Elephas maximus indicus: one gene and its partner. The protein of the gene in region 1 interacts with the protein of each later gene in a pairwise test. Links are inferred from orthologs where the notes say so. Each region holds a gene or a part of one and is shown in the gene's direction. Other genes may lie near its edges.

What was found.
Region 2: the proteins of TXN (region 1) and FST interact in binary tests that used the Homo sapiens proteins (3 or more experiments, as listed by UniProt). The link is inferred for Elephas maximus indicus from reciprocal best matches to the Homo sapiens genes TXN and FST.

What each region holds. Positions count from the first base shown.
Region 1 is NC_064827.1:59,704,933-59,721,053, reverse strand, and holds the start of TXN (thioredoxin), read left to right. Parts: upstream 1-7,916; 5' UTR 7,917-8,033; coding exon 8,034-8,057; intron 8,058-12,498; coding exon 12,499-12,603; intron 12,604-13,056; coding exon 13,057-13,116; intron 13,117-16,121. UniProt on the Homo sapiens protein: Participates in various redox reactions through the reversible oxidation of its active center dithiol to a disulfide and catalyzes dithiol-disulfide exchange reactions.
Region 2 is NC_064820.1:56,588,765-56,605,257, forward strand, and holds FST (follistatin), read left to right. Parts: upstream 1-8,127; 5' UTR 8,128-8,581; coding exon 8,582-8,666; intron 8,667-10,558; coding exon 10,559-10,750; intron 10,751-11,189; coding exon 11,190-11,408; intron 11,409-11,779; coding exon 11,780-12,004; intron 12,005-12,705; coding exon 12,706-12,936; intron 12,937-13,663; coding exon 13,664-13,746; 3' UTR 13,747-14,853; downstream 14,854-16,493. UniProt on the Homo sapiens protein: Multifunctional regulatory protein whose primary function is to antagonize members of the transforming growth factor beta (TGF-beta) superfamily including activin, myostatin, GDF11 or bone morphogenetic proteins (BMPs).

The sequences.
Region 1 (16,121 bases):
AATCACCAGTAATTATCAATGCATCTTGATTGCATGTTTGATCAATTCTAGACTGCAAAAGTTGGTAAAAATCTTCAATTTCATCTTTGGCATTAGTGGTTGGTTCATAAATTTGAATAATAATCGTATTCGCTGGTCTTCCTTGTAGGCTTATGGATATTATCCTGTCATTGACAGCACTGTACTTCAGGAGAGATCTTGAAATGTTCTTTTTGATGATAAACGGAACACCATTCGTCTTCAATTTGTCATTCCTGGCATAGTAGACCATATGATTATCCAATTCAAAATGGGCAATACCGGTCCATTTTGGCTAATGCCTAGGATATTGATGTTTATGTGTTCCATTTCATTTTTGACAACTCCCAATTTTCCTAGATTCATACTTTGTCATTCCACATTCTGATTATTAATGCATGTTTGCAGCTGTTTCTTCTCATTTTGTGTTGTGCCACATCAGTAAATGAAGATCTCGAAAGCTTGACTCCATCCACATCATTAAGGTTGACTCTACTTTGAGGAGGCAGCTCTTCCTCAGTTGTATTTTAAGAACCTTCCAACCTGAGGAGCTCATCTTTCGATGCTATTATCAGACCATGTTCTGCTGCTATTCATAAGGTTTTCACTGGCCAATTTTAGCAGTGGAACTTTAGGAATGACTCCAGCCATTTTCCCTCTTGCATTCCCTAGAGATCTGAAGTCCTGTGAGGCTGTCTGGTTGACCTGAAGTCACATATCAGCCCTGGATCTAGGTACAGGAAACAGCTGTTGGACCCCAATGGCTCGTCCCAACAAGATTACAGGGACTGGGGGAGAGAGAGAGCTATTCAAAGGAAAGGTAGGCTGTTGTTACCAAAATAAGTGGGAAGGATTGCTAGGCAGGCAAAACAGCAGCTGTCCACCACATAAGGAAAGAAGAAGGAGGGAGGGTAATGTTTTCTAAAATATTGCTTATGTTTGTACTGTAGGCGTTTCCAGGAATTTAAATATGTCTCTCTTCAGAGGGTACTCCCTGAGAGGTCTTCTCATCCTCAGGGCATTCAGGCAAAAAGAGAAGGAATCTGGCAGTAATGCTAAACTGCTTCTATCCCCGGCCAAATGAAGCAGATCTCAAGTTGTCTGTGTTACATTCATTTAAATACTAATCACTGCCTTTCAATTTCATAACAGTGATAATTTCTAGAGTAATTAAAGCACATTACACTAACTTTTCAGAATTCAACAAATTACAAGCTTACCAAAGTGCCTCATCTGTTGATGAATCCTCTAAATAAATATATTTCAGTTGGGTTGTTACTGGCTGTAAGTAGCAGAACACCCAGCTTGAAGTTGCTTAAGCCAAATGAAAATGTATTATGCACATAATTAGATGTCCAGATGGCGGGCAGGCTCCAGGGAACTTAATCCAGTGGTTCCTGCTCCACTCTCTGCAACTACCATGCTTTCTGCCCTCAAGTTCTCTGTATGTTCTACGACTTTCCAGCTTACACCCACATGAAACAGTATCTGGAGAAAGATGAGATCGTTTCTTTATGTAGGTCTCAGGAATAAGGTAACTTTCCCTAGAATCTGCTAGCAAACTTTCCTCTCATCTCATTGGCCCAGAGTGGGTCACATATCTGATCCTGAAACAAACCTGTGGCCAAGGGAATGCCATCTGTTAACTGCTAACCGGCTGATATCTGGGTTCTTGAACCAGTTGCTGGCAAAGAGAATGGTATCACCATGCCTGCCCCCCCCCGGCCCCCCACCCCCACCCCACAGGCCACTAGACAAATGGGCAGAGGAGGAATGTATGTGAAAGGGAAAATGGGGTAGGGTTTGTCTTCCTCTTCCCCCTCCCCCCAAACACCTGAATCTACTGCTGCACCATTTCCACGTTTGAGGAATTTCCCGCTTTAAGAGATTTAGTGGAAAGACAAAGGCCATTTCACGAGAACAATGCTGAGGACCCTGGAGCCTTCTGGCCTCCCTCACAGCTGGAACAGGGGCATACAGTAGAGGCTCCATCAATCACACATACCTCTCTCAGTCAGGTTCTCCTTAGGATCCATGATGCAGAGTCAGGAACCACCTGGAAAACCCATTTGGTGGCAGATTTCCAGGGACAACTCTGGCAGTAGCAATGGTACACTAGTGGTGCCCAGCGTAGGGCTGCTGGACTCAGCAAACGAAATTTTTCTCTAGCAATGTAGAGCTGTATGGAGATCTGACAGAGTATAATAGAGCCTTCAGTATGGATTACACCTCAACATAAAAAAAACAAAAAAAAAACCCTCACAACTGGACCAATAAGTAACATGATAAACATGATAAATGGAGAAAAGATTGAAGTTGTCAAGGATTTCGTTTTACTTGGATCCACAATCAATACCCATGGAAGCAGCAGTGAAGAAATCAAATGACATACTGCATTGGGCAAATCTGCTACAAAAGACCTCTTTAAAGTGTTAAAAAGTAAATATGTCACTTTGAGGAATAAGGAATGCCTGACCCACATTATGCTATTTTCAATCACCTCATATGCATGCGAAAGCTGGACAATATTTGGGAGACTGAAGAAGAATTGATGCCTTTGAAATATGGTGTTGGCAAAGAATACTGAATACATCATGGACTGCCAGAAGAATGAACAAATCTGTCTGGGAAGATGTACAGCCAGAATGCTCCTTAGAAGTGAAGATGGCAAGACTTCGTCTCACTTACTTTGGGCATGTTATCAGGAGGAACCAGTCCCTGAGCAAAGACACCATGGTTGGCAAAGTAGAGGGTCAGTAAAAAAAGAAGATGACCCTCGACAAGATGGATTGACACAGTGGCTACAACAATGGGCTCAAACATAACAGCAATCATGGGATGGGTGCGGGACTGGGCAGTGTTTACTTCTGTCGTACACAGGTTCACTATGAGTCGGAACCAACTCAAGGGCACCTAACAAGTATAGAGGGAGAGTTTCAAGAAAGTTGAGTGTATTTCCAAGAAGTGATTAAGTTGTACGTTGTATCATTTACAACTAGGCAAGAACTACAGGTCCGGCCCTCAAAACCTCACTATCAAGTGATATGTTCAATGGTAGCCACATACACATTTATTATCAGGTAGGCCAGCAAACAGTCGTACAAGCCATACCTGTGGAACTGAAGTCCCAATCCTTTAAGGCACTCTGACAAAAGTGCTTTGCATAAAAGGTTCATTTGAGGCAGATGTTAGGACCAACTGAACTTCTTAACTCAGCATTGTTCCATGGAAACACAATTTTAAATTTTCTAGTAGCCATTAAAAGAAGTACAAAAAAAAAAGATGAAATTAATTTAAATATTTTATTTATCTAATAGATCCAAAATATTATCATTTCAACATACAATATAAAAAGTCAATGAAATATTTTATATTCTTTTTTCTTACTAAGTCTTGAAAATCTGATGTGAATTTTACATTGACAGCACATCAAAATTTGGATGGTAAAATTTCATTGCGAATACATGATCTGTATTCAAGTGCATAAAATTTAGTTGAAAACTTAGATTCACATACCAAGGTTGTTCCAAACATACTTAAAATAATTTACAATAACTGAATCAAGTACAGTATACATCTCAAGTTCTCAACAGACACATGAGGCTAATGGTTACCACACACACACACACACACATGTTGCCATCGAGTCGATTCCGACTCATAGTGACCCTACAGGACAGAGTAGAACTGCCCCATAGAGTTTCCAAGGAGTGTCTGGTGAATTCGAACTGCCATCCTTTTGGTTAGCAGCCTTAGCCCTTAACCACTGCGCCACCAGGGTTTCCACCCTAGAGCCCACACCCTGAATTAAAACTTCTAGCCTCCTAAACTGTGAGAAAATAGATTTGTTTGTTAAAACCACCCACTCGGGTATTTGTGTTGTAGCAGCACTAGATAACTAAGATAGGACTCAAACAACACAGCAGACCTAGTTCTCCAGTTCTGCTTGGTGCCTCAGACTGAGCTGACCTAGACGCCTGAAGCAAGCTATCAGACCGCACTAATCTTCTGCTCCTCTTGATGACATGGAAGTGTTGTTTTTGCCTCCCTAGCATCCATTTCTACTTTTTCTGGTAGCTCCCTGGATTTTCCCTATTCTTAGTCCAAGGGGTTCAAGCTGACGCCTTCTTGCCCACCCCCAGACTCAAGTCAATGATGTCAGCCTCTGGGACAGTTACAAGAACAAAGGAGAAGGATTCTCTTTCTGAAGGGATGCTAAACTGGTGGGACCCTAAGCCCGGGACTGCTGGTGGCCAGGGCCAGTCTTCCACAAGGAGAAGAAAGCCTGTTCAAGAATGTGCCCTTGTGACATCTTTGAGTTCCTGGAGTTAGTGATTCTCTTTGTGGTTTAAATCAGTTTGAACTGTAATTTATCCTTGCAACTGACAGTTCTGAGTAATGCACGCAGCCAAACCCTAAATGAATGTGTTTATTTCACTGTCTTAGTTACCTAGTGTTGCTACAAAGGAAATACCAAAAGCGGGTGGCTTTAACAAACAAATTTATTGTCTCACGGTTTAGGAGGCTAGAAGTCCGAATTCAGGACTGCTTAACTCTAGGAGTTGGCTTGGAGGGAAGGTCTTTGTCTCTTTTCAGCTTCTTTTCCTTGGCTCCGTGGGAATCTACATGTGGCATGGCATCTATTTTCCCTCATCTCTGCTTGTTTTTTTGCTTCTTACAGACTAGAAAACCCCATGGGTTAGTTCTACTCTGTCACATGGGATCACTCTCTGCTCTTTTATACCTCAAAAGAGACTTAAGACACATCCTACACTAATACTGTTCATTAACGTAACAAAGAAAACACATTCCCAAATGGGATTATGACCACTGGTATAGGGGTTAGGATTTACAACACATATTTTTGGAGGGACACAATTCAATCCATAATGATCACCATGTCTCTCCTCCTCTCACCGCTACAGCCCCTCTGCACAAACAGATCCCCCGTACCTCACTCTCATCACAGAATGCTACCTCCTTGCCAGACCTGAAATCCTAAAGACTCAGTTTCTCATATGCAAGGCAGAGAACCTTGCTGCTTAGGACAAGGTCCAACCCACTTTTCTTCCTCCCTCTGGGGGTGCGGGGTGGGGACCTTTTCCTTTGAGACTCACTGTTCATTACAAATTTCCTGATTACTTAATTCTCTTACAACTCGGATACATGGTTCACAGTCTCCCCTTCCATCCTAGCTCTGCTTTCATTCTGAAGGGCTTTTACCATTCCATTCAATAGCCTGTAAGCACAGTTGATACAGCATTTACTTTATGCCAGTACAGTTCCTAAGCACTTCACATATATTTTAACTCACTCAACATTTATCATAGCATGATGTTGTTAGGTGCCATCGAGTCAGTTTCAACTCACAGCAACCCCATGTGACAGAGCAGAACTGACCCATGAGGTTTTCTAGGCTGTAATCTTTACAATTAGCAGGTTTTTCTCCCAGGGAGCCACTGGGTGGGTTTGAACTGCCAGTCTTTCAGTTAGCAGCCAAGTGCTTAACCACTGTGCCACCAGGGCTCTTTAATCATAGCATAAGGTATTATTATGCCCATTTTACAGGTAAGAAAACTGATAGGCTACTTAGACTTGCCTAGAGTTACCCAGCTACTGAGTGGTAACAGTGGGGACAAGAACCAGGTAGTCTAATTGCAGAGTCTGGGCTCATATCATACACTTTTAGCCTCCTAGCTCCCTGTTCTCTATAGTTGTAACATCCCTCACATTCACTCTATATTGGTTTTCCAGAGGCAGGAGGGAGTCAGTACCCCCTACAACTGAGTCAATGGACATTTGGAAAGTCCTTGGAAAGGAGATGTCAGCTGAATATGGCCTGGGCAGCCCTTTGTGATCTGTCAGCTCGCCTTCCTGTAGCGCAATTATCTGTTGTCGTCTCCCATGGCAATGCATCAGAAGCAGGGATGGAGGTTAGGCTTAAGGCAGTGCAGCAGAAAAGCTGCTCCCGGCACCCTATAAGGCCCCTTCTTTGTCCCAGTAGTCCTTAATCTTTGGGGGAAGGTTGCTGTATTCAGGAGAGACCATTTTCCCTCTGTCTAGAGCCGTCCTTAAAATGTGTATCTCGTTTACGTCCTTACTTATGGCTTGCAACTTCTCAGTCCTTTAGCAACTGCATAACAGGCTCAAAACCTCAGGTTTCCTTCCTTCCTCTCCGTTTGAAAGGTCAGGGAGAAAGAAGTTACAGGCTCTGGGGAAAAGCCAAGGAGCAATTTCATCACCGCAGCCAATCATACCTAGATCTAGCTTTATCCAGACCTGCTCTGCTCTGAAAATGCAAGCTCGGGTTCCCCACCGCAACCTCTGGCTCTCATTTCTCTCTCCAGTTCAACAGTTCCTCCATGTTCAACTCCCGACAGGCCCTTCTAACCGTACCTAAAAACGTACTTACCTTTCACAATCCACTCTCTTGTGCCAGACCCAACCTGTGATGTGCATCCCTGAATCAACACAAACGCCTCACTTTTCCATTCCAGGCTTCTCACCACGGATAGAAAAAACACAAATACGTGCAGTGGTGCTTTACAAATATAAGGATGGAAACCCTGGTGGTGTAGTGGTTAGGTGCTATGGCTGCTAACCAAGAGGTCCGCAGTTCGAATCCGCCAGGCGCTCCTTGGAAACTCTATGGAGCAGTTCTACTCTGTCCAATAGGGTCACTATAAGTTGGAATCGACTGGACAGCAGTGGTTTGGTTTTGGTTTGGTTTGGTTAAGCTCATCCAGGCCCACCATGACACCAAGCAGGCCGAATCAGTACTCACGATAGCTATGTTGTTGTTAGTTGCAGTCAACTCCAACTCACAGGACCCTATGTGTGCAGAGTAAAACTGCTCCATAGAGCTTTCAAGGCTGTGACCCTTCAGAAGCAGACTGCCAGGCCTGTCTTCCTAGGCCCCTCTGGGTGGGTTCTAGCCACCAACCTTTAGGCTAGTAATCCAGCATTTAACCGTTTGGGCCACCCATGAACTCCACACTAGCTATAACTAGAACTATTGGGGGGCTTACTATGTACCAAAACAGTGTCCTAATCACTTTAAAGCACCTTATTCAGCACGCAAAACACCACCACCGTGAGATAGAGACTATTAATTCCCATTTCACAGAAGGGAAAACTGAGGTGCTGGGAGGTCAGAGCGTAGCCAGGGTCACACATGGTAACGAAGTTGCACACAATTTAACTTACATCCCGCACGCAGCTGTGCGATAGCCCAGTCAGTCCCCCCACCCCCCACCCCGGCTGTCTCTACCGCTCTAAGCTGCAGTGTCACCCTCGAGCGGCGAGTTCATCAGTGAAAGGGAAAGAACAAGGAGGGAAAAGAAGAGGACCGTCAAAGCAGATTTCACAAAGAACAGGGTGAACCCACGGCGATACTTCCTGGTCATCGTTACTCAGCACTTTGGTTTCTCTGGGCCGCAGGGCAGAGGCGAGGGTGTGGCGGGCCTTTTCGAGGAATCCAGCCACGCCAGAGCGGTCCCGGGACTGTCCTTCTCCAGCCTCTCTGCTTTCGATTAAGGTCTGGCTGACCCCTTCCCGGGTAACCCGGGAGGGGCCCTGTAGCTCTGGAGGTGGCCGTCCGCTTCCCCGCCTCCCACCGCGTGACGCACTGCATGAGCCCTTTAGGTCACTCGACGCATCCATGGGACACTAACGGTTTCGGGACGGGGGTTCCGGGGTCTCCGTGGGGCGCCGACAGCCCCACCCCCCGCCAAGGGCCCCGCCCCGACCTCCCGGCTCTGCGCCCCCCCCCAGAGGCGGAGCCTCGCTGGCGGAATCTTGGCAGGCGCGGCGCGGGCGCGGGCTCGAGCTGCCTGGACGGGCGCGCCCCCACCTCACGCACGCTGCGCGCGCCCGCCCGCCCACAGCGGCGCCCCGCCCCGTTGCTGCGCTATAAAGACAAGGCGGGCTGCGCGCTTAGGGGTCAAGCTCTGTCCGGCGCTTCGGGTATATTTCTTGTGCTTCAAAGGGCCGCTCATCAGTCTCCAACCGCCAAAATGGTGAAACAGATCGAGGGCAAGGTACGAACCTCCAGGGAAGTCCAGGGCGCGCTGCAGCTTCCGAGCTGGGTTAGGCGGTGGGCCAGAGATGGCGAGGCAGACCCTTTGCATTCCTGGGGGAAGGGGAGGCGGCAGTTTGGCCTTCGGCTGAGAAGCCCAGGCTTGGGCTCGCCGGAGGCGGCAGAGTATGCCCGGGATTGGGGGGCGGGGGGGAGGAGGAGAGGGACGAGGCCCCCCTGGAGGGCGAGATCGGGGTGCTTAGCGCTGACGCTTCCTGTGCGCCTGGGTGATGCACGCGCGCGGGGAGCGCCCGGGGTACCCACACTGCGCCTCCCGCACTCTCCCATCTGGCGACCCCGATTGGAAGAAAGTGAGGGCATGGAGGGCGTCTGCCCTTAGACCTCATCTGTATTCGAATTCGGGCTTGGGCAAGGAGATGCTTGAAGTCGCTGGCCGCCACTCCCACCCTGTGAGCGACTTGATCCACCCGCCTGGGATGGGGTGGATCCCCCGGTAGCCTCCATCACCGCCGGGCCCCAAAGATGACGTTTGCTGTGCCCGCACGAAGGGGGCACATCCAGACTGGAGACACCTCGGGAGTGCCGGCCGGGCCCCGAGGCCAGGGGAGGAGCGATGGGCCCCAGGTGGTTGCGAGGAAGTCAGGGCCCGGCTGCGCCCACCGGACTCCTCCTCTTGCGGCGCAGGGCGTGTTTCCGGCGGGGCTGGCTTTGGAATGACTCAGTCCCCGAGGCCTGGGCCTGGGGGCCTCCCTTGCCCGCCTGTGATTTTCCCACAGTCCGTGAGTTTCACTGAAACCAAGATCCCCCATGGGAGCTACCGTGTTGGGTTAGTGTGCTCGTCGGCCTTCGTGTACCCAGATCCTGGTTTTGTCCTTTTAAAAACACCCAAAGCAAAAATTGTTCTCGTATTCGAGTTACCTAACATAGTGTCTGGCACACTGTAGCCATTCAAGAAGGCTTGTTAAATGCAGAGTCAGAAAAGTAAATGGAAGAAAACTGATGCTGCTTGAACGGTCAAAGACCCCTCGCACGCGTCCATCCTCAGCCCGGGAAAGCGGGAAACGGGATCCTTGCCCACGAGTGCCTTCAGCTTTTAGATGGTGGTGTGGGCTTCGGAAACAAGTTTCTTTATAATGGTCACTCATTTTTTATTACTTTATAACCAGAAAACATACGCAATCATTGTAGAAAATTTGGGAGGGGAGAGAACGCCTTTGAGATTATTCGTACTGTTTTGATTTGGGATTTTTTTTTTTTTCCCGCTTTCAGTTTAGCCCAAACACTTTCCTTGTAATTAAAAGCTCGTTGTAATAGTTTTAATGTCTGAAAACATTTGTGGATATTTAGGAAGTTTCAAACTTTCAATTAATTTTTTTAAATAAAGTTTGTACAAAGAGCAGGCTGTTTCCTTAGATTAGAACTACAAGCGCAGTAAACTTGTAAATGGTACACATATTACATGAGAACGCTCCTTTCACATCACCCTTATCGCCGACTTTTCTCACCTTAATTTTGGGCAAATTAATGGTAAAGAAAAATTGTCTTATTCTAATTTCATTATCTTTATTAGCAACTTTGAACTTCTTTAATTTTATGAGCTTTAATAATTAAATGGAAACCCTGGTGGTGTAGTGGTTAAGTTCTACGGCTGCTAACCAAAGGGTCAGCAGTTCAAATCCGCCAGGTGCTGCTTGGAAACTCTATGGGGCAGTTCTGCTCTGTCCTGGAGGGTCGCTGTGAGTTGGACTCGACTCGACGGCACTAGGTTTGGTTTTTTGTTTTAATTTAAATGATAACCTCTCCTGTATTGAAAAGAGAGATCCTTAATAGTGAGTTTTGTTCAATATCTGATTTATGACAGATATTAATTATATGCCTTGGTGGGAGGCTTCTGTTGTTGAGGGTCTGGCAACCTCATCCTAGAACCCAACAGGAGAGAACCTATTAAACAAGCCAGAAAACCTCTGAGTACACATTGCAAACAGAAAATTGATTTTGATTCCTGGAGCAAACCTTTCAATCCTTCCTTCTCTATTGTAGTTATGGCAATCAGTCCCTAGTCCCCTTATCAGTGAGGTGTACAAGGATGACAGGGAGTTGATCACTTGCAAAAGCACCCCAGCCATAAGACAGTCAGTTGACAGAATTACGGCCCACAGCCACTAATGAAAAATTAAACTGTAATTTGGTTATTTGTAAATATTAAATACTCCTTAGATTTTCATCCTGATGGGCTGAACGTTGTGCCTTTGGCCTTCCAGGATAACTTTGTTTCGTGGCACTGTGTTGGTGATTCAGGGCACAAGGACCTGTTTCAGACAAGGATGGGAGAAGGGACTGTAAAAGGTGATGCTGAAGAAATCAGCACAACGCAGTTTCATTTTTGTTTTTTAATTGTACTTTAGATGAGGGTTTACAGAGCAAATTAGTTTCTCATTAAACAGCTAATACACATATTGTTTGTGATGTTGGTTGCCAACCTCAAGACATGTCAACACTCTTCCCTTCCCAACCTTCAGTTCCTCATTTCTATTCGTCCAGCCTTCCTGCCTTCTCGCCCTTGGCCCTGAGCTGGTGTGCCCATTTAGTTCCTTTTTGTTTTATGGGGCTGTCTAATCTTTGGATGGGAAACCCTGGTAGCGTAGAGGTTTAGAGCTACATTTGCTAATCTAAAGGTCAGCAGTTCTAATCTACCAGGCGCTCCTTGGAAACCCTATGGGGCAGTTCTAATCTGTCCTGTAGAGTTGCTGTGAGTCGAAATCAACTCAATGACAACAAATTTGGTTTCAGTTTTTTTTTTTTTTTTTTTATCTTTGGGTGTAAGGTGAACCTCAGGTGTGACTTAAGTCCTGAGTCAAAAGAGTGTCCCGGGGCCCTACTCTTGGAGCTTCTCTAGTCTCTGTCAGACCAGTAAGTCTGGTCTTGTTAGTTTGCAGTTTTTTCTACATTTTTCTCTAGCTCTGTTCAGGGCCCTCTACTGTGATCCTTGTCAGAGCAGTCAGTGCTGGTAGTTGGGCACCATGTAGTTGTACTTAGTCTGGTAGAGGCTGTGGTAGTTGTGGTCCATTAGTCCTTTGGACTAATCTTTCCCTTATGTCTTTGGTTTTCTTTATTCTCCCTTGCTCCAGATGGGGTGAGACCAGTGAAGTACCTTAGATGACCATTCACAAGCTTTTAAGGCCCCAGATGCTACCCACCAAAGTAGGACGTAGAACATTTTCTTTATGTTATGCCAAGTGAGCTATATGCTCCCCGAGACCATGGTCCCCAGTCCTCGGCCCAGTAATTCAGTCCCTCAAGGAGTTTGGATGTGTCTATGAAGCTTCCATGACCTTGCCTTGGTCAAGTTGTGCTGACTTCCCCAGTACTGACAACATAGTATTTTTAAAAATAAAAAATTATAGCTACCATCTGTTGAACTCCTATCATCTACATAAATTGATTCGTTTTTAATTAGATTATTTGGCTAGCATTTTTCCCTTCAAAGAAAACCAAGCCATGGATATAGATGTTTATGTTCTGATTTATCTTCATTTGCCTGTTTCTTGGTCAGCAGTGACTAATTGTGCTTAAAATGAGAAGGTTAGCTTCCCAGAGTTACAGTATCCAGACCATTAGTAAATAATTCACAGAGGTTGGATTTCTTAATATCTTCCGCTAGTAGAGTTTATTTCACATGCATTCTTTATGTAAAATAAATGTAAGGAATGCTCCACAAAGATCTAACATTATTGTTCATATAATCAACAATGAGGGCAGAATTTTGAGATAAAGAGCGAAATCAAAGATTGATAAGCAGGATGATCTCGACTCTTGAAACACCATTTTAAAAAGAAAGTACAAGGAGATAACGCTTAATGTCAGGTGATATCTGATTATCTGAGTTTGGGAATTGAGGGAGGTTATTTTCCTTGACTTTTTTTTTTTTTTTTTTAACTTCTCACATTTTCCACCATAGATAATATTAGTTTAATCAGACAAGTGTTTGCTTCTGAGGTAACGTTTTCTTCTCTTTTTTTTTTTTTTTTGGTGTTTCAGTTGTAAAACCCTGTGCCATTGTGACTTCTTTGATTGAAGTGACCATGACCCCTTTCATCAGTCAATAAGCATTTAGTGGATTCTACCAACCAGACTTGATGTAGAAACATTTTTAGTCCGAATTTCTATTTTTATTTTCCTTTGACTTGCTTAGCTTGAATATAGATTAGCCAGTTAGTTGTATTTTATAAAATATATCCATGAAAACACGTACATTGCCGCACATCTGGCTTCATTCATCAAATGACAGTACCAATGGTGTTTAGGATTCCTTCAAACCTAGTTCTTTGTTTTTTTACTTTTACTGAAAAATTAAGCGTGAAAGCAGGACCTCTCAGTTGTGCATCCTGTCCTATCACGTCTCCAAATGCAACTATTTAGCATATGCCTTTTTCCCTTCTAAGGAGGATTTCCAGGCAGCCTTGAACAGTGCTGGAGATAAACTTGTAGTAGTTGACTTCTCAGCCACGTGGTGTGGGCCTTGCAAAATGATCAAGCCTTTCTTTCATGTGAGTATTAAACAGCTTTTCCTTTGTAAACGATTTGTTTGCGGGGGGGCAGTTGGCGGTCACAAAGTTAGCAAAGTAAAGCCTTTTTTCTCTTCTGCTAGATCTTTGGTCTACAGGTAATAGTGTAGCAATTTAGGTTTGATACATATAGATCATTTAAGACAGCTTTCAGAAGTTAGTTTGGTTTGTCTTAAATGATTTTGCTTTTATTAAAGTTGAAACTGGGCCCTATTTGAAATGTAGGCCTCAAAAGTTGATGTGCCAAATTATTTTACGGCAAGAGGAATTTTATTCAGAGAAAATGTATGTCTTTTAATACCTACCTGATTTCTAGTGTAAATTTTTGAGGTTTTAGTTCTTCTCGACTTTAAGTTTCCAGTGAGGAAGCTTGAGTCTGTTGGCTGCCATTACCCAGTTTAAATCTCTTCGGCTTTCTCATTTGAAATTTTCCAGTCCCTCTCCGAGAAATATGGCAACGTGGTGTTCCTTGAAGTCGATGTGGATGACTGTCAGGTACGTGGTTGGAATTTAGAATACTGCTGAGGTCTCACGTTGGCTTTTTTCTCTGAAATCTACAGTACTTGTTTTCAGAAGTTTGTCAAGTACTACTAAAACTTTAACCCTAGTAAAAAGCCCTATTTTGGAAGAACAGGTAACTGTGCCAGCTGTGAGCTTAATCCTACATATCAGGAGCTATGTACCTCACACCCTAAAATAAGCATAATGATGGTTGAGGCTTCTGTACCTTATCAGTCACCCACCTGCCTAAAACCCTACATTCTATCTGTAACATTCTGAGGTATTCAGTCAGTAGGCGCTGAGTTTGATTATTATTAAATCCATAGATTCGAAGATGTCACCAAAAAATTGGGAAGATGCCTGTAAGTTTTAAGGTCCTTTCTGAACTTCTAATGATACAGGAAAGGGGGTTCTCAGACCTATTCTCGTGATATCAGTCAATTAGAAAACCCAAATGTTTTAAAGAGCAAACACCAAGGCTCCTCATATAGTTGAGAGAATAATTTGGGGAGAAATTCCAGAGTTGAGGACTTATATACCACTTGATTCATGTCAGGCACTGTTCTATGTATTTTTCAAGTATCGCTTATGTAATTCTCAGTGCTGTTATCATTCCCATTTTTCAGATACAAAAAAAAAAAAAACCCAAACCCATTGCTGTCAAGTCAGTTCCGACTCACAGCAACCCTGTAGGTTGAACTACCCTATACGTAGAACTGCCCCATAGAGTTTCCAAGGAGCACCTGGTGGATTCAAACTGCCAGCCTTTTGGTTAGCAGCTGTAGCTCTTAACCACTACGCCACCAGGGTGTAGTGATGCTACAGGACATAGTAAAACTGCCCCATAGGGTTTCCATTGCTGTAATCTTTATAGAAGCAGACTGCCACATCTTTCTCCCTCTGAGCCACTGGTGGATTTGAACCAGCATCCTTTCATCATTTCAGTTAGCAGTGGGGTGCTTAACCGCTGGGCCTCAGTAAACAGAGAATGCCGGGAGTTACAGTCAGTAACAGCAGTGCCAGGATTTAAAATGAGATAGTCTGGCTTCTAAGAGCTTGTTCTTAGCCACCACACTTGGAGGATGCTGTCTTCTGTGGGTGTAGATCAGGGTCTTAGCACATGATCCCACCTCTCACAGCCCACTGAACTCTGAGAGCTTGTTACAAGGTACATGGCCTTGGAGTTCTTTACACGTGTGCAAGCCATTATGCAGGTTTGCATTTTTGCCTAGCCCCAGTGGGCAGGAGGAGTTAGCTGCTCAGTTATGGTGTGATTGCAGTAGCAAAGGCCCTGGACCTGGATTCTGTGACTTTCTCCTTTAGGCTAATCCCTTGTCTTCCCTGAGCCTTGCTTGGTTCTCTGTGTATAACCAGATCTTAATACCTGCCCCATCCACCTCCTAAAAGTTGCTTATTCATGAAGCAAACATGGAATGCTTAATAAAGATACTAAAGGGTCAATAGGAACAGGCACGTGGCAGCACTTTATAGATCTACAAGAACCTCTGTTACTTGAGCTTTGTTTATTTTCCCCTTGCTCCAGACTCATTTTTACAAGGACTTGCCAACCCGAGATTGCTTGTTCCCAGCCCATGTACTGGTTTCCCACTTCTGCGTTTGCTTCGGCTCTGTGCTCTACCTGGCACATCCTTTCCCTCTCTACTTATACCTGGCTAACTCCTACTCAGAAGCATCACGTGTCCTCTAGGAACCCTTCTCAGCTACCCCTTTTACACCCCAGTCGAGGTTACTTTCCCTCCTTGTGTACCCATGATGTCTTTTGCCTCACTTCTCCCACTGCATTTATGGTAGGTGGAGCGGGTCCTGCAGCTAGACTGCTTGTGTTCTTTCCAGCCTCTGGCACTTATTAACTGTCCAGTTTAAGTTATTTATTTTCTCTGGGCCTCAGTATGATGGTCCGTAAAATGGTGATGTTAATCTGATATCAAAAGGTATCAAATGAGATGGTACCTATAAGTTGCTCAGAATAATGCCTGGCACATGGTATTTACTCAGTACCTCTTAACTACTGTTCTACTGATCACTTGGTGTTTGTTCCCCACCACTAGTCTCTAAGATTCTTGGGGTCAGGGACCCTCTCTTATTCACCTTTGTTTCCCCTTCACCTAGCACACCTGCCTGGCTTGTAGCAGGTGTGGGATGAATGAATGTTGTATGGTTATTAGTAAATGTATCTTTCTAGCTGTGCCCCAGTTTTGTTTTGTTTTGTTTTTTTTTAAAAGGGCAGAATTGCACTTGTTTGTGAACGAAGTCCTTGCTCTGTTTTAACCAAACTTAAGTCTTATTTTTCATATGGTCACCTTAGCTAGTTTAAAGTTGGATCTGGAAAGGACTAGAAAAACTGCTAACTGGCATGAAACCATATTAGACAACAATTTTAATTTTCATCTGAAAGTAATAACTAGCATGTTCTAGATGCTGGGGTAAGCCCTTTGCATGCATTATTAGCTCATTTAATCCTCCCAGTAACTATGAGAAGAGGTTGTTAACATCCCCACTACATAGATTCGGGGCCAAGCCTGTGTGCTTGATCACCGTACCGCACTGTATAAGGACAGGCACTCTTCCCACCTCGATTCAAAACCTTCAGGAAGTGGCTAGCAGAGCAGTCTAGGACTCCTTATGATAGTGTGTGCTTGGGGCACGCTCATTGTCATCCTGAACATGTCTTTCTTAACCTTGGAGTGACCCTCTCACAAACTGGGTACCTTTCACTTTGCCTCCCTGTATTCTAAAGATTAAGTAGCATAAAGGTTTTAATAGAATGATCCCTAAACACTTGGGCAGTAAGAAATGATATGTTAGGTGTGAGGGATTCAGAAGGACAATTACGAGGCGTGGGCATAAAGCGGGACGCAAGATTGATTTCACAGCCACAGTAAAGTGTGATTACTAGCCCTTTTGAAAATGATAGTCTGACCTTATTTCTTTGACAACAGACTCTGCACCTCTCTAAATGGTATGATGCTTATTTTGTA
Region 2 (16,493 bases), on another chromosome or scaffold:
CATAGAATCTGGAGCACATAATAGATATTTAAGAAATATTTGTTGAAATTTTGTTGACAACTAAACCTCAGAAAGACTAAGGCTGTTTGCATTTGAATATTTTGTGTGCCTCAGTTGCAGATTTTATGAATAGCAGCTGAAAAACATTATCTTTAAAAGTACGTTATCTAGAATACAGTAGTAATTACGAAGCTGTTTCTTTTGCTTCTTACTCCTTGGGAATCCTAAATTTCAATCTCTTTCTGAATCCTGCCTCAGCCTTGCCCTACATTTTGGAGGGATCTAGATATGGTGATAATATTATCTATTTGGCAAGGTAGGTATGAGGAATAAAGTTGGTATATTTTAAATGCCTGGCATGGAATAGTAACTTGATCAGTGGTAGCTGTTATTAAAGGGGGTAGAAATATTGATGACTCAGTGGTAGAATTTTCACCTCCCATGTGGGAGACCCAGATTCGATTCCCAGCCAATATACCTCATGCTTAGCCACTACCTATCTGTTGGTGGAGGCTTGAGTGTTGCTCTAATGTTGAACAGGTTTCAGCTGAGTTTCTAGACTAAGACAGGCTAAGAAGAAAGGCCTGGCAATCTAAAATCAGCCAAAGAAAACATTATAGATCACAACGGTCTGACCCACAATCAGTCATGGGGACAGCAAAGAACTGGGCAGCATTTAGTTCCATTGTGCTTGAGGTCACCATGAGTTAGAGGCCAACTCATCAGCAGTTAACACCATCAATTATTAAAGAAAAAAAAAAGTAGATAAATGCATATCTGGGTGTATGTGTTATGTATGTGTGTGTGTATTTTGAACTCTCTCAAGACAATTTCTGTAATGGTGACATTGGTTAATTTTGTAAGACACTCTAGTATATGGAGTTATGCCAGGGAGTGGCAAAACCAAAGGACACTCTGATTGAGGTCTGAAGGAATCTCGAAAGGCAAATAGACTGATTGGGATGTACTGGTAGAATAATCAGCCCATCTAGCAACTGGCTCACTCAAAACTAAGGGTCTTAATCTGAAGTCCATTGAACCCTACAAGACTTGTGTATGGACATAAAAGTGTCTATAATCTCCTTAAAAAACAACGTAGAATATTGTGTATGTGTGTATACATGTTTGTGTCTGTGCACTATTCTGAGGAAATGGTTCATAGCTTTCAACAGCTTTTCAGAAGATATGTGAACAAGAAAAAATTTTTTTAGGAAATCTGGTGCTCTGGCAAAAATTGTAACATTGACTGTGTGATGGTATGTCATCTGCCTGGCCAAAGCAATATTTTCTGCTAAGGCAAAGATTAGAAGTCTTGGGATCAAAATGATCTCAACCAAGTGGTTCTTCTACACTACATTTCCATCTGCCCACCATGTGAGCTATTAACACATACTTTCTGTTGATTATGTTCATATCCTTATTTTCAAAGAAACTGCACAGAAACCAGTTCAAAAGAATCATTATCTAATGTATTAGAAAACCAAATAAATGAACCTCCTATATATACTAACAATTCTATTTTGTTAAAGAGTGGCTGTTTATGGGAGATTAGCACACATCAACCAAGACTGCCTGTAAGTCATTCATCTACCAGTTTTCATAATATACATTTATATATTTCTATTCTAGTCCAAAAAATAGCAAGGCTCGCCATGTGTTGAAATAATTTATTTCAACACTTAATGCATCATCTGTCCCGTATTTCCACATGTTGTGTCATCACAATTTGACCTCAACCCATTGTTAAATATTTAATAGTACTGTTAGATAAACAATACAAAGTATAGTTTACTTTTGAATGTGTCTTTTACATAAAAAAAAAATAAGCCAATACATGCTGCAAAAGGTACAAGTTTAGATTTTAGTACTGACCATTCTAATGAGTAGAAAATGAGATGTTAAGGTAGAGGAAACTGTAAGGAGGACAAATTTATCAGGGAGAGCTCTAACAACTGAAAAGATGCCATAATTCTCCAATATAGAATAAATTCAGAAAGTAAAAGCCACTCAAAGTTTGGCATAATAGAAACTGCCACTTGAAACCTAAGCACAGTAATGGATTATTTTGAGTAGAAATAATCCATTATTTCACATGAAAAAGATGAAATAATATTTGACAAAACACTATCCAATAGAGGATTTTTTTTTTTTTTAACACTCACTGAACATAAATCTCATGGTGACAAAGATTATTCATTTAAAAGAGTGACTATGGTCTAAAAGAAACACCAAAAGAAGGCATCCAAGAGATTTTGAAGAATTAGCACACCACTCCCGGAGAGTATGCTCAATGCAATGTGTTTCACTGGCTGTGGAAATCAAATTTAGGGAGTATGAAGACAAGTATTAGCCTGCACCAGGATATCTTTAGAACCCACTGAATTTCTTTGAGATACAGAGCTAAAACTGCATAGATTATCCTATATCAACAACATGTTTTTCAATGACAGCCAAAATACAAAATGGATCTATAAAACCTAGTTGAGATAAATTTTTTAAAAACCCAAATAAATGGAAAGATATACCATGTTCATGGTTTGGAAGACTCAATGTTGTTAAAATGTCAATTCTCCCCCAAATCGATCTATTCCAATCATAATCCCATCAAGCTTTTTTGTAAAAATTGACCAGCTGATTCTAAAAGTTATATGAAAATGCAACTAGAATATCCAAAGAAATCTTGAAAAAGAAGAACAAAGTTGGAGGAATTATACTACCTGACTTCATTACTTACTATAAATCTAATCAAGATACTGTGGTACTGGCATAAAAAATTTTTTTTTTTTTTTTTTTTTTAGGATTAACAAATAGATCAGTGGAACAGAATAGAGAGCCCAGAAACAGATCCACACTTATGAGGCCATTTGACTTTTGACAAAGGTGCAAAAGCAAAATGCAAAATGGACCTGGAATAAAGTCACCATTGAGGAAAGATGACTAAAGGAAAGTATGTAGGACACACAGTAGGCTGTCTAAAATCATGCCTGACTGCCTGGTGAGCCTTGGACCTATCATAAACATAATACTTCAACTCCTGGACCAATTGGGCATCAGAGATGAGACAGGATTCATATCATATAAAAAAAAAAATAAGGGTGGCAAACATGATGGATGATTAAATAGCAATTGTATCAACTGCTGATCTCAATACTGAATAAGCAAACACTTATAAAAGAACAAATTATAAAATGTGTAAATCACTGCTACTCCATGGAAAGCTAGAATGAGGTAGTGGACACCAAAATGTACAAAAGGAACTGCAACATACCAACTATCCGGCAGCCAAACGATAATCTAGGAAGAGTGGTACTTATCTTGATCTTGAGCTTTGAACAAAAAGTAGGGAAAGAGAACAGCAAATACTGATTTACCGTCCTCACATTTTCCATGCAATGGGAAGTGTAAATGGAACCAGGGTCAAAAGTGCTAAAGGTCACCGTTATACTGTTACTTTTCAGTCGTACCTAAATAAATGAATCATTTGTATTGTCAGACTGACCTAAGCTACAGTAAAATTCTTAGAAGTTTCTATTAACCCAACAGAATAGTCCTATCCAGAGGCATAATCTGAATCATTTACTAAGGTTTATTAATGACTTAATTTATGATAAATTTGAATATGCTGATATTGCTAGTTTAGGTGACTATATAGCACATATAGATGACTTCTGAAAATCCAAAATATTTTTAACATTAGAGGGGAAAATAGGACCATAAAATTTTTATACAGAAACAGGTAGTTTCAAAAAGAAAGGCAGCTCTGTGATTGACTCAACATAATACGAAAGCAATATTGAAAAGAGAAAAGTTCAGTTAATCAGTTGTTTTCTCGGCACTGTCTAGAAAACATATATTGTGATAATTTTTTTAAAAAGCTTAATCATCTGATGGTTTGGACACCTTGGATAAACACTGCTTTTATGTACTCACATTTCTTAACTTTTTAGTTCTGCAACAATTCAGCCGATGCAAAACTCCTGTCTCCACCCCCCACCTCAAAGCCTCATTCTAGCACTATGAAGTTGCACAATTCCAAAGACCATGGTGGCGCATTGAGTAACTGTTTTTGTACCTACAAGAACCAAACCTGATTTTAAAAGAATTTCAGCCTATTGTTCATGCTTAAATTCTGTTCCTTAATCAGGATCAGTTGTTTGCATTTGCAGACTTAACATTAATTTTGCAAAACACCTAACTTTGAAAAATTTAGGCATGTGATTTTCAGGCACAAAATAAAAGCTGCTCAGTGCATCACTTTCAAATCTTCCACAATAACCTCACCATAGCCCCTCCATATTCTCTTTTTAGGAAATAAGATTTAACCCGGCCAATTCTGGGCTCAAACAGCAATTTCGTATGATTTCAAGTAGCCATCTTGGGAGCGACATTGAATCATTTGCTAAAGTCTAATATTTTAAATTTATAGACTTCAGAAGGAAGATACCGTTTGAAGCTGAGAAAAAACAATCAGAGAACAGCAGTCTTTTTGTGTGCTGCCCAGAAATTCACTTACAAAGTGGTCCTATTGTGTTTCTCATAATTTACATTCACTTTTTTGGCAATGCAGAAAGGAAAAAAAGAAGTCAAACTTGGAGGCATACGACAAAAATGAAAGAGGGCATTTTTATTTTAAAAATGTCCCCTTGACATTTTAGCTCTCTGCTAACCCAATATTTAGCATTTACAGGAGCTAACACAGTAAAAGAAACAGCAGCTGTTTTTCTGTGATGTCACTGAACAGGTGTGATATCATTTCATACCACTGCAATCAGATGGATCTCTTGTTGATGCCCACAGCACACCCATATGAAACCAGTATTGACCTGGGTCTCATTTCCTCAGATATGGCCAGAAAATAACCTGGGACAACAAGGCTCCTGAGGACTGATCTGTGCAGATTCGGAGCTGACATTCTCCCAAACAGATCAATACCATCCAAGGTGCAGCTGAAAAACAGGATGAGCTTGTATCCTTAAACAAACACCAAGCTGCTTATTCACAAGGGCAAAAGCAATATAGCACTTCTGTTTTCCACAGTATATTTGTCAGTGACCTCAACCCTGACCTGCAGAACCACCCTCTCAGGGGTAAGAATCCTATGCTGGGTCTGCCTCTGGTGCTGGAGGACTCCTGTGCGTGATGACAAGTTCTACAATGAGAGTACTATATCTGCCTGGGCCTTGCCAAGACAACTGCATGACGCCAAACAACTAATCGATGCAGTCGGTTTAGTCAAATGTCTGGTCAAAGAGTATTTGGCACTATAGGGACCAAAAAAAAAAAAAAAGGAGAAACTAATTTTTTTTTTTTTTTTTTTTTTACCCAGTTACACTGGAATTGTGTGAACATATCTTGGATTAAATTGATACAGAAAAATTTTATGACACCAGTTGCTTCTATATACATAAACTAAAATAACCATCTGGATAAACCAAATACTATTACTCAAAGACCCAGATAAATATTTCTTATTAACCTCCAAAATTGCCTCTATTATATTTCATTTAGCCACATAAGCCCCACCCCTGTATCTGTACACTCCTTTTTATATGGGGAGCCCTGGTGGGTATGTGCATATGTAAATGAACAATAGTTAAGTATAATAAGAACATGCAAGTTATATCACCTTTTTCATCATCATAGCGTTATAAAATATAGAAAAAGTATGGTCCTGCCACTGTGGGTTAAAATATTACCCTATATCCTCTGGCAAGGTGGCTTCATGTACAACTGGGCATGACTAAAATTTACACATTTTCTATGGTCCTAGGGTGAAAAGGCTAAGAAAAAGACCCTAGCTTTCAGAGGCTACAGACAGATTCAGGGACAATAAATGTACCTAAACAGAGGGCAAATATAAAATCATGTATGTTTGGGTATTAAAATTTGTGTAATGCCCATTGGTAGCACTACGATAAGATACAACTACGTCTAAGATCTTTTATGTATTTATGATGTTTATTTTTTCAATCCAAGATATACGGTTTGATAACCCTAGCTAAAACAGAAGCTGTGTCTCTGGCTGCTATTAAAAAGAAATTTTTTTTAAAGAAAAAAGTCAAGCAACAAAAATTGTTGGCTTTTGCCTTTCCTTCAACTAAATTTCCCCTTAGGTGAGGACAGGGCGGGGTGGAGAGGCGGGAGTCTTAAAGGGGAAAACACAAACTTTCCCTCAGCACTTTTATAAGAACTATATCCATCTCCCTGAATAAAGAACAAATAAATTCGGCGCTGGAACTCTGTCATCGAGTGGCGGCTCCTGCAAAGGGTAGTTTGTTATTAATTGTTAATGTCGTCTGCCATTAGAGGGCACTAAACCACCCTACATTAATGCGGCATTGGAGGGAAGAGAGAAAGGGAGACAGGAAAAGAAGGGAGGGAGTAGGGGGATGGGGAGAGAGTAAGAGCAGAGTCTGGGAAGAGGGAGGGAAAGAGAAGAGGGGTGGGAGGACGGGAGGAAAAGAGGGAGAAAAGGAGAGAGAGGGGGAACGAATATGGAAAGATTAAGAAGGATGTGGAGCCCCCAGAGCCGTCTGAAGTGAGCAAAAACCCAACCTCCCCGGGGCCGCCGGCGCCCCTCCCCTCCCGTCCTCACGACGGTAATTATAAAGCGAAAAGCAGCGGCGAGGTCACCCGTTTTTACCAGCCTGCTGCACTCAATGCGCGCGGTGCAGGTGCGGCGGCCGCGGGGTTTTGTGATTCATGCCCACTTTCAAAGGGGGGTTTGGGCCCGTCTGAGAGGCACCCAAACAACTGTCTTCTAATATTAGCACGGCTGTATTTCGGGATCTATTATAGTCTGTCCAGACAGATCCCATTGTAATGGGATCTTTTATTAAAAGATTAGCACTATCTCCTGCAGTTGGTGGAAAAAAATCTGTTATCACTGAGTTATTTGCAGTTGTGGAGGGGATGGGGGGGTTGGTGGAAGACGGTGGGGGGGGCGGGAGTGCGAGAGGAAGACTGAGAAGGGGCTGGCAGAGGAGTTGAGGGGGGCGAAGAGGGGCGGATTTCAAATCCGTAGAACGAATCCCAGTGACCTGCAAATATCCAAGAATTTTGTCTGCATACTTCCCTGTCTGTTGTCCTTCGAGCTTCAGAAAAGAATAGAAATTAAAAAGGCAGCTTTGGAATAAACAATATAGCATTTTCCGTGAAGTAATCGTTTTATATAAAAGGAAATATCGCCTCCTCAGTCTCATTCAGCGATGCCAAAAATGTTATAAATGAGAGACCCGCCAACTTTCAGCGAAGAATGCCAGGCACTGTGCTTAATAAACTGAGGCTACAGAAGTTCATTATCGATGTTGCAATCTTTTTTATTCCACAAACCGAGAGAGGGAGAGGGAGAGAGAAAGAGGGAGGGAAAGGGAGAGAACCAGCGGGGAGACGAGGAGGCGACTGGGAGAGACAGAGGAACGAGACACACAAGACAGAAACCGGGGAGCCTCGGAGCTGGGGGGGGGGGCAGACCGCCTACGTCGGCGCCCCGGCTCCGGGCTCCGACTCCAGACGCAGCCAAGTGAAAGGGAAGAAAAGAAAGGGAGAAGGCGCGACTGTGACGGGGGGGAGGGAGGAGGCTGGGCCCGAGGTGTTAAACATTTTTGTTTGCTTCTGACTCGTCCAGAAGGGCCGCGTCTCGGATGCGCTTAGCCAGTGTGGAAGGTGCCGGGGCCAGGGTTATAGGCAGCAGCTCTGGGCTGGGGGCGGCAGCAAAGTAAGGGTCGCACAGACCCAGACACAAAACCTCGCGGGTTCCGCGCCCAGGCTGCGGGAGCCGAAAACCGCAGAGTTCCCCAGCGGAGCCACCAGGCCCGCGCGGTCCGCCCCAAGCCGAAACAGGCTATTTCGGCAGCCCGGGGCTCTTTGGGCGTTTGCAAAGTCTGTCTGGAGCGGAGGAGCGGCGGTGCGGAGACAACTCCCGGGCTCCCCTGCTCTGCCCGCCGCCGCCGCCTCCAGCGCCCCCACCGCGCCCTCCCTCGCACACACACACACACACACACACACTCTCTCGCGCGCGCGCACACGCACACACACACACACTAGCCACCCCGGGCGCGCCGGCGCTGCCTGCGAGCGGCGGCGTGCAGGACTTGAAGTGGGTGTTCTTCCCCACTCCCCACCCCCGAAGCGTTGCCTTCCCCCTCCCTCCCGCTCCTACGCAAATAAGAACTCGGCGATTCCCTTCCTGCCGCTTTGATTTCGGGCACCTCCAGCAGATAATTGGGAAGGGTTTCCAGAAGGTGGGAAATGTCACCTGATTCACACTGAACTTTTAAAAGCTCCCCACCCCCAAGGAGCCGCGCACACCCTTGCTTGCGGCCGCCCTCCCACAGCCCCACACACTGGGAGACCGCCCACCGCAAACCGCGGAGACCCCCGTCTAGATTTAAAGCGCGGCTGCGCCCGGCTTCTGACGTCCATTGAATCGCGCGGGCGGCCGGCGGCGAGCGCGGGGCTGCGCCGGGATCGCTGCGCTCTCCGCCGCTCGCCTCTGCGACGCGCGCCGCTTGCCGGAGCCACCAGTCGCTGCGCCCGCTGCCCGCGCCGCTGCGCTCCTTGCCCAGCGCCTGCCCCTAGGATGGTCCGGCCGAGGCACCAGCCCGGCGGGCTTTGCCTCCTGCTGCTGCTGCTCTGCCAGTTCATGGAGGACCGCAGCGCCCAGGGTAAGCGAGGGGGATGCTTTGGGGAGGCTCGACTGCGGACACGGGTTTGGACTTTACTGTCGTCTCCACTTGGTCTCTTGTTGCATCGCTGCTCCTGGAAGATGTTGGACCAACTTAAGGACTCCGGGATGGAGAGGAGTGGGAAATCAGAAGGCAGTGACACTTTAGGACGGGAAGAGTTTGGAGCTCGGTTATCCTTAAAAAGGAAAGGGAGTGAGCTGGAGGCTCTCTCAGTAGTTAGGGTTAGATACTTCAAGTTCTGCCATAATGAGTTGGGATGTTATCTCCCCTTTTTGGCTCTGAAGGAGGAGACAAGCATCAGTAGCCTGGAGATTTCAGTCGACCCCTTTGCAACCTTAACATTTCTCCCTCCCGCATCTTTTGGATACTTTAAAAAATGACCGGAGGGGGGGCAGATACTGAATTTTCTTCGGTGGCTGGGCGACGTGGTTTCAGAAACTTTGCCCAAACTTGGAAATGTGGGTGCTGAAATTTTTAGAGGGAAGTAGCTTTCTGCCTAGTGGATGCTTCTTCCAGCCCCCTCCCCCACACACACCCCGCAAAAAAAAAAAAAAAAAGTCTCAAATTATTAACCCAGAGTGTTTTTAAGAGTAGTTTTACAGTTTTTTTTCCCCCTTTGCCTCATCCCTATAACTTAACTTTCTGTAGAACAGTGAGGAGCCCACAAATGACTCCAGTTCTGAGATGGATTAAGAGCACATTTCTAAAGTGTGTCTTTTCAAATTCGATTTTTTATTTCAATTAGTCTTTGGGCAGAATTTTTAAAATTAGAAATCGTAATAGCAGCTTGAGGTCCAGTTGTTGGAAAAGTCACATTGGTGATTCATGAGAGCTTTTCCTGACCAAAATCCGAACATTAACCAGGGAGGGGGCGGGAGAAGGGAGAGAAATTGCTTGCAAAGATTTCTTTGTAGGTATGAGCTAGGTATATGTAGCTGTGAAATTGTGGGAAGCGTCCCTCCTTTTCTTGTCTCCTCTACTTTCTAGGAGACAGAACGTGTAACTTTACCTGCTTTCGCGTTAACGTTTTAAGTATGTTGTGAACCGGCCGCCTGGGCGCCTGGGCACTGCCTCTCGCCATCTGCACCGCTCCACGTTGGTTGCCCGCCTTGCGCAGCGCGCTGCTTTGGTGCGGGGGACGTGGGCGTCCAGGGACTCAGCCCTCCGAGATTTCGAAAGATTGTGGTGGCCGCGGTGTCCTCCCGGGCTGGCCGATTGCAAAACGGGCCGTCGGGCAGACTGCGCCTGAAGGCCTCTGGGGCAGCTCCCAACCGGGCCCTGTCGGTCGCTTTTTTGCTTTCATTTTTCACAAGTGCCTTTTGCTTAATCCGCTGTAGCGTGTGTCTGTCTCTCTCTCTCCCTCAAGTTCTCCTACTTTCTTAACCCCTGTCACAAATAATACCCATACCGCCTACGTGAAACCAACATGTAAAAACATCCGTCGCATCCTGTTTTTGTCAGATTCTTTAATCTGCTCTTCGAGTTGCTGCAGGTTATGAAATGGGACAAATAAAAGTAAACAGTCTAGTAAAAGTCAATGCAAGCTGCACGTGTTGTGTCTGGGTCACTGGTAACTGACATTGATATGGCTGGGGCGCTCTGCCTTCTCACCCTCGCCCTCCCTCCCCCTCGCCCACCTCCCAACTCTCCCTTCTGAGCGTTCTCCACCCTCTCTTTCCCCACCACCACCCCCTTCGATTTATTTTCTGCTTTTCAATTTATTTTCTGCTTTTCTCCATAGGCTGTCTCATCCCCTCCTCCACGCTCACCCCTCCCCATTCCGCTCTGTCTCCTTCCCTCCTGCGCTTGCCGCCTCCCTCCCCCTACCCCGCCGAGCACTCACCCACCTCCCCACCCCGGTCTCTTTGCAGCTGGGAATTGCTGGCTCCGCCAGGCTAAGAACGGTCGCTGCCAAGTCCTGTACAAGACTGAACTGAGCAAGGAGGAGTGCTGCAGCACCGGGCGCTTGAGCACCTCGTGGACCGAGGAGGATGTGAATGACAACACACTCTTCAAGTGGATGATTTTCAATGGGGGCGCCCCCAACTGCATCCCCTGTAAAGGTAGGGCTCTTCCTCCCCAACTTGAGGCCTTCAGTAGATGGTGTGTTGCCCTCAGCTTCTTCACTGCCTCGCTGGGAGTTGGGACTGGGAAAGCTTTGTTTATGGGTTCCCGCTTCCTTCCCCCAGCCCTGGTAAGCCATTGGGGTAGAATCTGGCCTGTTAGAGGCTGCAGGCAGGCAAAATAGGGTCGATGGAGGTTCCTGGACTTCTGTGCCAAGTGTGGTGGTAAAGGCAACCAACCCTGCTCTTTGAGAGATGTGAGTATCCAGACTCAGCCCACTGTTTCCACCTCTTCAGTCCGGTCCCTGGCTCCTAGGAGAGAGCCTGGGCTCCCCTTGCAAACTCATGTCTGCAGATTGCGCAAGACACCCAAGCTCTCCTGGCTGACCTGCAGACTGCCTGGCCCTGGTTCTAATCCATCCCTCTTTCCAACTCGTAGAAACGTGTGAAAACGTGGACTGTGGACCCGGGAAAAAATGCCGAATGAACAAGAAGAACAAACCTCGCTGCGTCTGTGCTCCTGATTGTTCCAACATCACCTGGAAGGGCCCCGTCTGTGGGCTGGACGGCAAAACCTACCGCAATGAATGTGCGCTCCTCAAGGCCAGATGTAAAGAGCAGCCAGAACTGGAAGTCCAGTACCAGGGCAAATGTAAAAGTAAGTCCTCAGCTGCTTGAGCAACTTCCCTCCCCACCCCCACCCCCCAACTTTCTACCTGAAGTAGACCCCCTGGAGTCCCTGGGAGGGATGGGATAGTCCATAGTAAGAGTCTAATCATAGTCATCATCATAATAATACAAAAAAAACCTCAGTGATACCAAATAAAGGAAACTTTTTCAAATGTCTAAAGACTCTATAAGAACTGTGAAGGGCCAAACCTAGACTAGTATGTTTGGAAGCCACAGGGCTCCCAAAGTAACTTTTCAAAGCTGAATTGTTTCAGTTTCATGATTTCCTTATAATATCAAATGTTCACTCCTTAAGGACCAGACGATGTCTATGAATGTGTATTTCTGTCTTTGTTTCAGAGACCTGTCGGGATGTTTACTGTCCAGGCAGCTCCACATGTGTGGTAGACCAGACCAATAATGCCTACTGTGTGACATGTAATCGGATTTGCCCAGAGCCCACCTCCTCTGAACAGTATCTCTGTGGGAATGACGGAGTGACCTACTCCAGCGCCTGTCACCTGAGAAAGGCTACCTGCCTGCTGGGCAGATCCATTGGATTAGCCTACGAGGGAAAGTGTATCAGTAGGTATTCTGGATTGAGGAAGGAAAAGAGAAAAAAGAGAGAAGCCAGACAACTAGTTCTTGTGTTAGAGCTGTGGGGCTAGCCAACCAATAAAAGCCAAATTTGTCTCCTCAAACATGTAATTTTAGAGGGATAAGTTACTCTCCAGTTTGACTAAACTGTCTTGACCATACCATTCCTCATGGAAATCATTGTCTTCCAGAAGCTTTGGCATATATATATATTCAAATGCCAGCAAGAAGCAGAAAGCCATTTTTCATCTTAAAAAAAAAACTTAGAATTCACTCAGTTTTACAAGTTTTTTTCTTTAAGGGCTTGCTAGACTTGCTAGAAGAGAGAAATAATTACTTCACAGTTCCTAGAATCTGTTATCAGATTCCAATGATTGATGAAATTCTTTCTTTTTAAAATCCCACTTGTGAGAAATAATCGGATACATATTTAACTCAAAGATATTACGAAATCCTGATCCAAAAATTACTGTTTCCATGATCTAATATAGTTTGTAAGAAACTGCAGTTTTGTGGTGTGTGTGTCTCTGAATTTGAGTTTCAGCTTCATTATCAAGCATTTTTGCCTAATGTCTCCTTTACCACCATTTGTGAGGAATAAGATATATGTATTGAGAGAAGACTAGAGAAAGGTAGAAAAGGAATGAAGGGGAAATCAGTTTACTCATCACAGATGTATTATATCCTAGAAGCAAAGTCCTGTGAAGATATCCAGTGCACTGGTGGAAAAAAATGTTTATGGGATTTCAAGGTTGGCAGAGGCCGGTGTTCCCTCTGTGATGAGCTGTGCCCTGAGAGTAAGTCTGACGAGCCTGTCTGTGCCAGTGACAATGCCACTTATGCCAGCGAGTGTGCCATGAAGGAAGCTGCCTGCTCCTCAGGTGTGCTGCTGGAAGTAAAGCACTCCGGATCTTGCAACTGTAAGTGCGATTTTTAACCTTGCTGCAATTTAAAGCTTTCCCAGGCAAGCCCTTGGGAATGGAGACTTAAAAAGCACGCAGACCTCCCACGTAAGCCCATTTCTGTTTCAGTTAGGTAGCTGCTCAATTTCACCAGCAATTCAGTGATCCACAGAAAAATTCCCTGGAATGTTTCCTGGCTTTTAGGACTAGCTGAGTGATCAGCAACGGGATTGCCGCTGAAACCTATTTCCAGTCATTTGCCCTAATTCTTTTGCTTTAGTACTGTGCTTTGCTGTTTGCTTGATTAACACTTGAATCTAAACTAACTGCTTCAAAAATTTGGTTTTCCTTTTCCGCCTAAGGCAGCTGTATATTATCACACACGGGCTGCTGCTGTTTGCAGTTGCCTCTACTAACTCTGAATTAAGGACCCAAAGCAGTTATACCTAGAACACAAGAGCGCTTTTTATCTGATTTCAGGAATCTTCCCGTAAAACCTGAGCCATTGATTCTTCAGAACTTTCTGCAGTTTTTGACTTCATAAATTGTTTTAAAAAAAAAAAATTTTTTTTAACTTATTACATAACAGCAGATGCCAAAAAATAAAGCATCTCACTGCAAGTCACATAAAAATGCAACGCTGTAATATGGCTGTATCAGAGGGCTTTGAAAACATACACTGAGCTGCTTCTGCGCTGTTGTTGTCCATATTTAAACAACAGCTCCCCTGTATTCCCCCATCTAGCCATTTCGGAAGATACCGAGGAAGAGGAGGAAGATGAAGACCAGGACTACAGCTTCCCTATATCTTCCATTCTAGAGTGGTAAACCCTCTACCAGTGTTCAGTGTTGATATAGCCTTTGGGCAAAAAACAAACAAACAAAAACTAAGAAAAAAATATATTGTCCATACTGTACATAAGTGTATGCTTATTTATTTGGGGGGAAATCTATACATAAAGGACCTTGGTCCTAAAGCTCTCTCCCAGGCCACCTTGTTACTCATTGGACACGGAGAGACAGTCATTGTGAGGTCTACTGGATGAGGCCTATAGTTGAGACTTGTAGACATTTATTTATACTGTGTCATGTTTTATAATTTATACATAAAATGTCTGGTTGACTGTACACCTTGTTTTTGAAGAAATTTATTCGTGAAAGGAAGAGCAGTTATTTATTGTGAGGTCTCTTGCTTGTAAAGTAAAAGCTTTTTTTTTTTTCCTTGTAAACCATTTAAATCCATTCCTTACTATTCACTCACTCATCTGTCTCCCCTTATTTCACTGTTTTAGACTTTTCCACTTTAACAAACTTGCATGTCAGTTTCTGTCATGTTTATTTATTGGATTCTCTGCTGCCTGTTCTGTACATACATGGTTACATGATCCCTCGGGTTTTGTTTACAAGGAATCTTGACTGACCAAAAGGCATTATAACTGACTCAAATACAAGGTACAGTAGATGCGTCTTTGGGAAAACTCCTAGTTCAGTTCTCATGTTATGATGAAGATATTTGTGAGAGAGAAGGGGTGATGGCAATGTTAGAATTCTAATAATGTACCTTTAAGATGTTACAGATCCAAAGAAATGGAGTGATATGGGGTGTCTTGAGACTGAAGAAAGGAAACGCTACACATTCAACCTTTTGCTAGGTGTGTTTCCTTTAAGCTAGCTGCTGTACCTTTTAAATTAGTTCTTTTTCAGTGTGTCACTAAAAGTTATAAAAAATATCAAAGCTTTATCAGTTCAAGTTTCTTGCTTTTCATAATACTTTTTTCTGATGCAATTTTATATTTTCAAACATGGCAAGTTAAATATAAATTCATTTAAATATATAGTTTTGTACTTTTCTACCATGTAAATGTGCAATGTATATAAAAGTTATAATGTGTATTTGTAAATAAATGATGAGTGAAAAAATAAAAAAAATTTTAAAAAGCCAATGGTCTCAATTCCTGGTGATGCAAAAAAAACAGCTGTTCAGGCTTTAGAGCAAAAACATACATGATATCTTTGCTGAGAAATACAGTTATCATTGAAATTAAGCAGCCAGGACAGTAGAAGTTCCAAATTGAGGTTAATTACAAATCAGCTCAAAGATAAAGGGACCTAAGGTCCAGAAGCACCTTTTAGGAGTGATGGCATACTTGTCATTAACTATGGAAGGAAACAGACTGAACGTGGGTTCCACCCTGCAAACATACCAAGACTAAAAACACCATCTTGTTGGAAGATTATCCCCATGTCCAGGGGCACCCTTTCTCCTACCTTCTTCATCTAAATAAAGTGACTCTTAGAGTTTTAACAAACAAAACGCATCACAAGGAAAAGTGAAAATTGACAAGTAAACTATATGAAGAACATTTTAGAAACCAGAATATTTGACTATAGAGATAGGTTTCAGGGACTTGGTTAGATGAGGATGAGGTTGGATAGATTTCTACAATGATGTCCATGGTTCATGGAGATTAAACAATGACACTTAAGGTAGAAGCGGAAATGGTAAATGTTTTGCTGTTTATATGTGGCCAAATCACAAGATTAGAGTCTCAGATTGCAATTAAAGGCATCAATTGTTAGTCTGTATAATACATAAACTAGTTAATGCAAATTTCTAATTCATCGTGTGCTACATATTCAAAGCCTAAATATATTAAAAATATCGACACTGCTAAATAAGTTCTTTCTTTGAAAGGTAATGACCCAATTCTTTTTAAAAGTTTATTCCATTTGTGAAAACCCTCTTTAATATGAATAATTATTTAAAATGTTTATCAGAGAACGTTGGCTTTCAACTGAACTCACCAAATGAAAAATTTGGTGGCGGGAAAGGAGTCTCTTTGGTAGACAAGAGTTTAATGATTAGGACCCAAAAGGTTTTGTTGTCCTCCAGTCTCAGGTTGTCAGAAAGGAAAGGGAAGTGCAGAAAACACAGGCTGCCATTAAAAGTGAGAAGACCCTAGTGGGGAGACAAGGGTCTTCACAGGTGCAGAGAAGCTACTGGCTTGCCACTAGGAATAGGCTCCGAAAAGGAAAGAGCTGGGCAGATAGGGTTTCACAGCCCTTCCGGGAATTGATTTGTTAATTTGTCAGAGGATGCTAGAGATGCTTTAAAGCTGCCATTGACTAACAAAGTTAAAATGTCAACTTTAACAGGCACTTATGTGTGTTTTGTCAAGGAGGAGCAATAAAACCAACAGTTTGCCTTTTAAACAACATTCAGATTAAAGTTTTATTTCATATTTATCAGCATCAATCATTCCTTTCAAAAACCAGACAGTATCTCATTTTCCTTCTTGGAGTTTCCTGCTTTTCCAATAATACTGCATGAGGCTAACTTAAAAACCCAAAAAAACAAACCCATTGCCAGCCAGTCAATTCCGACTCATAGCAACCCTATAGGACAGAATAGAACTGCCCCATAGGGTCTCCAGAAACAGCCTAGCGATATTAATCCAATTTTAATTTAAAGAGAGACTATTTTTTGGTACTAATTAGCCTAAGGAGCCCTGGTGGTGCAGTGGTTAAGAGCTACAGCTGCTAACCAAAATGTCCACAGTTTGCATCCACCAGCC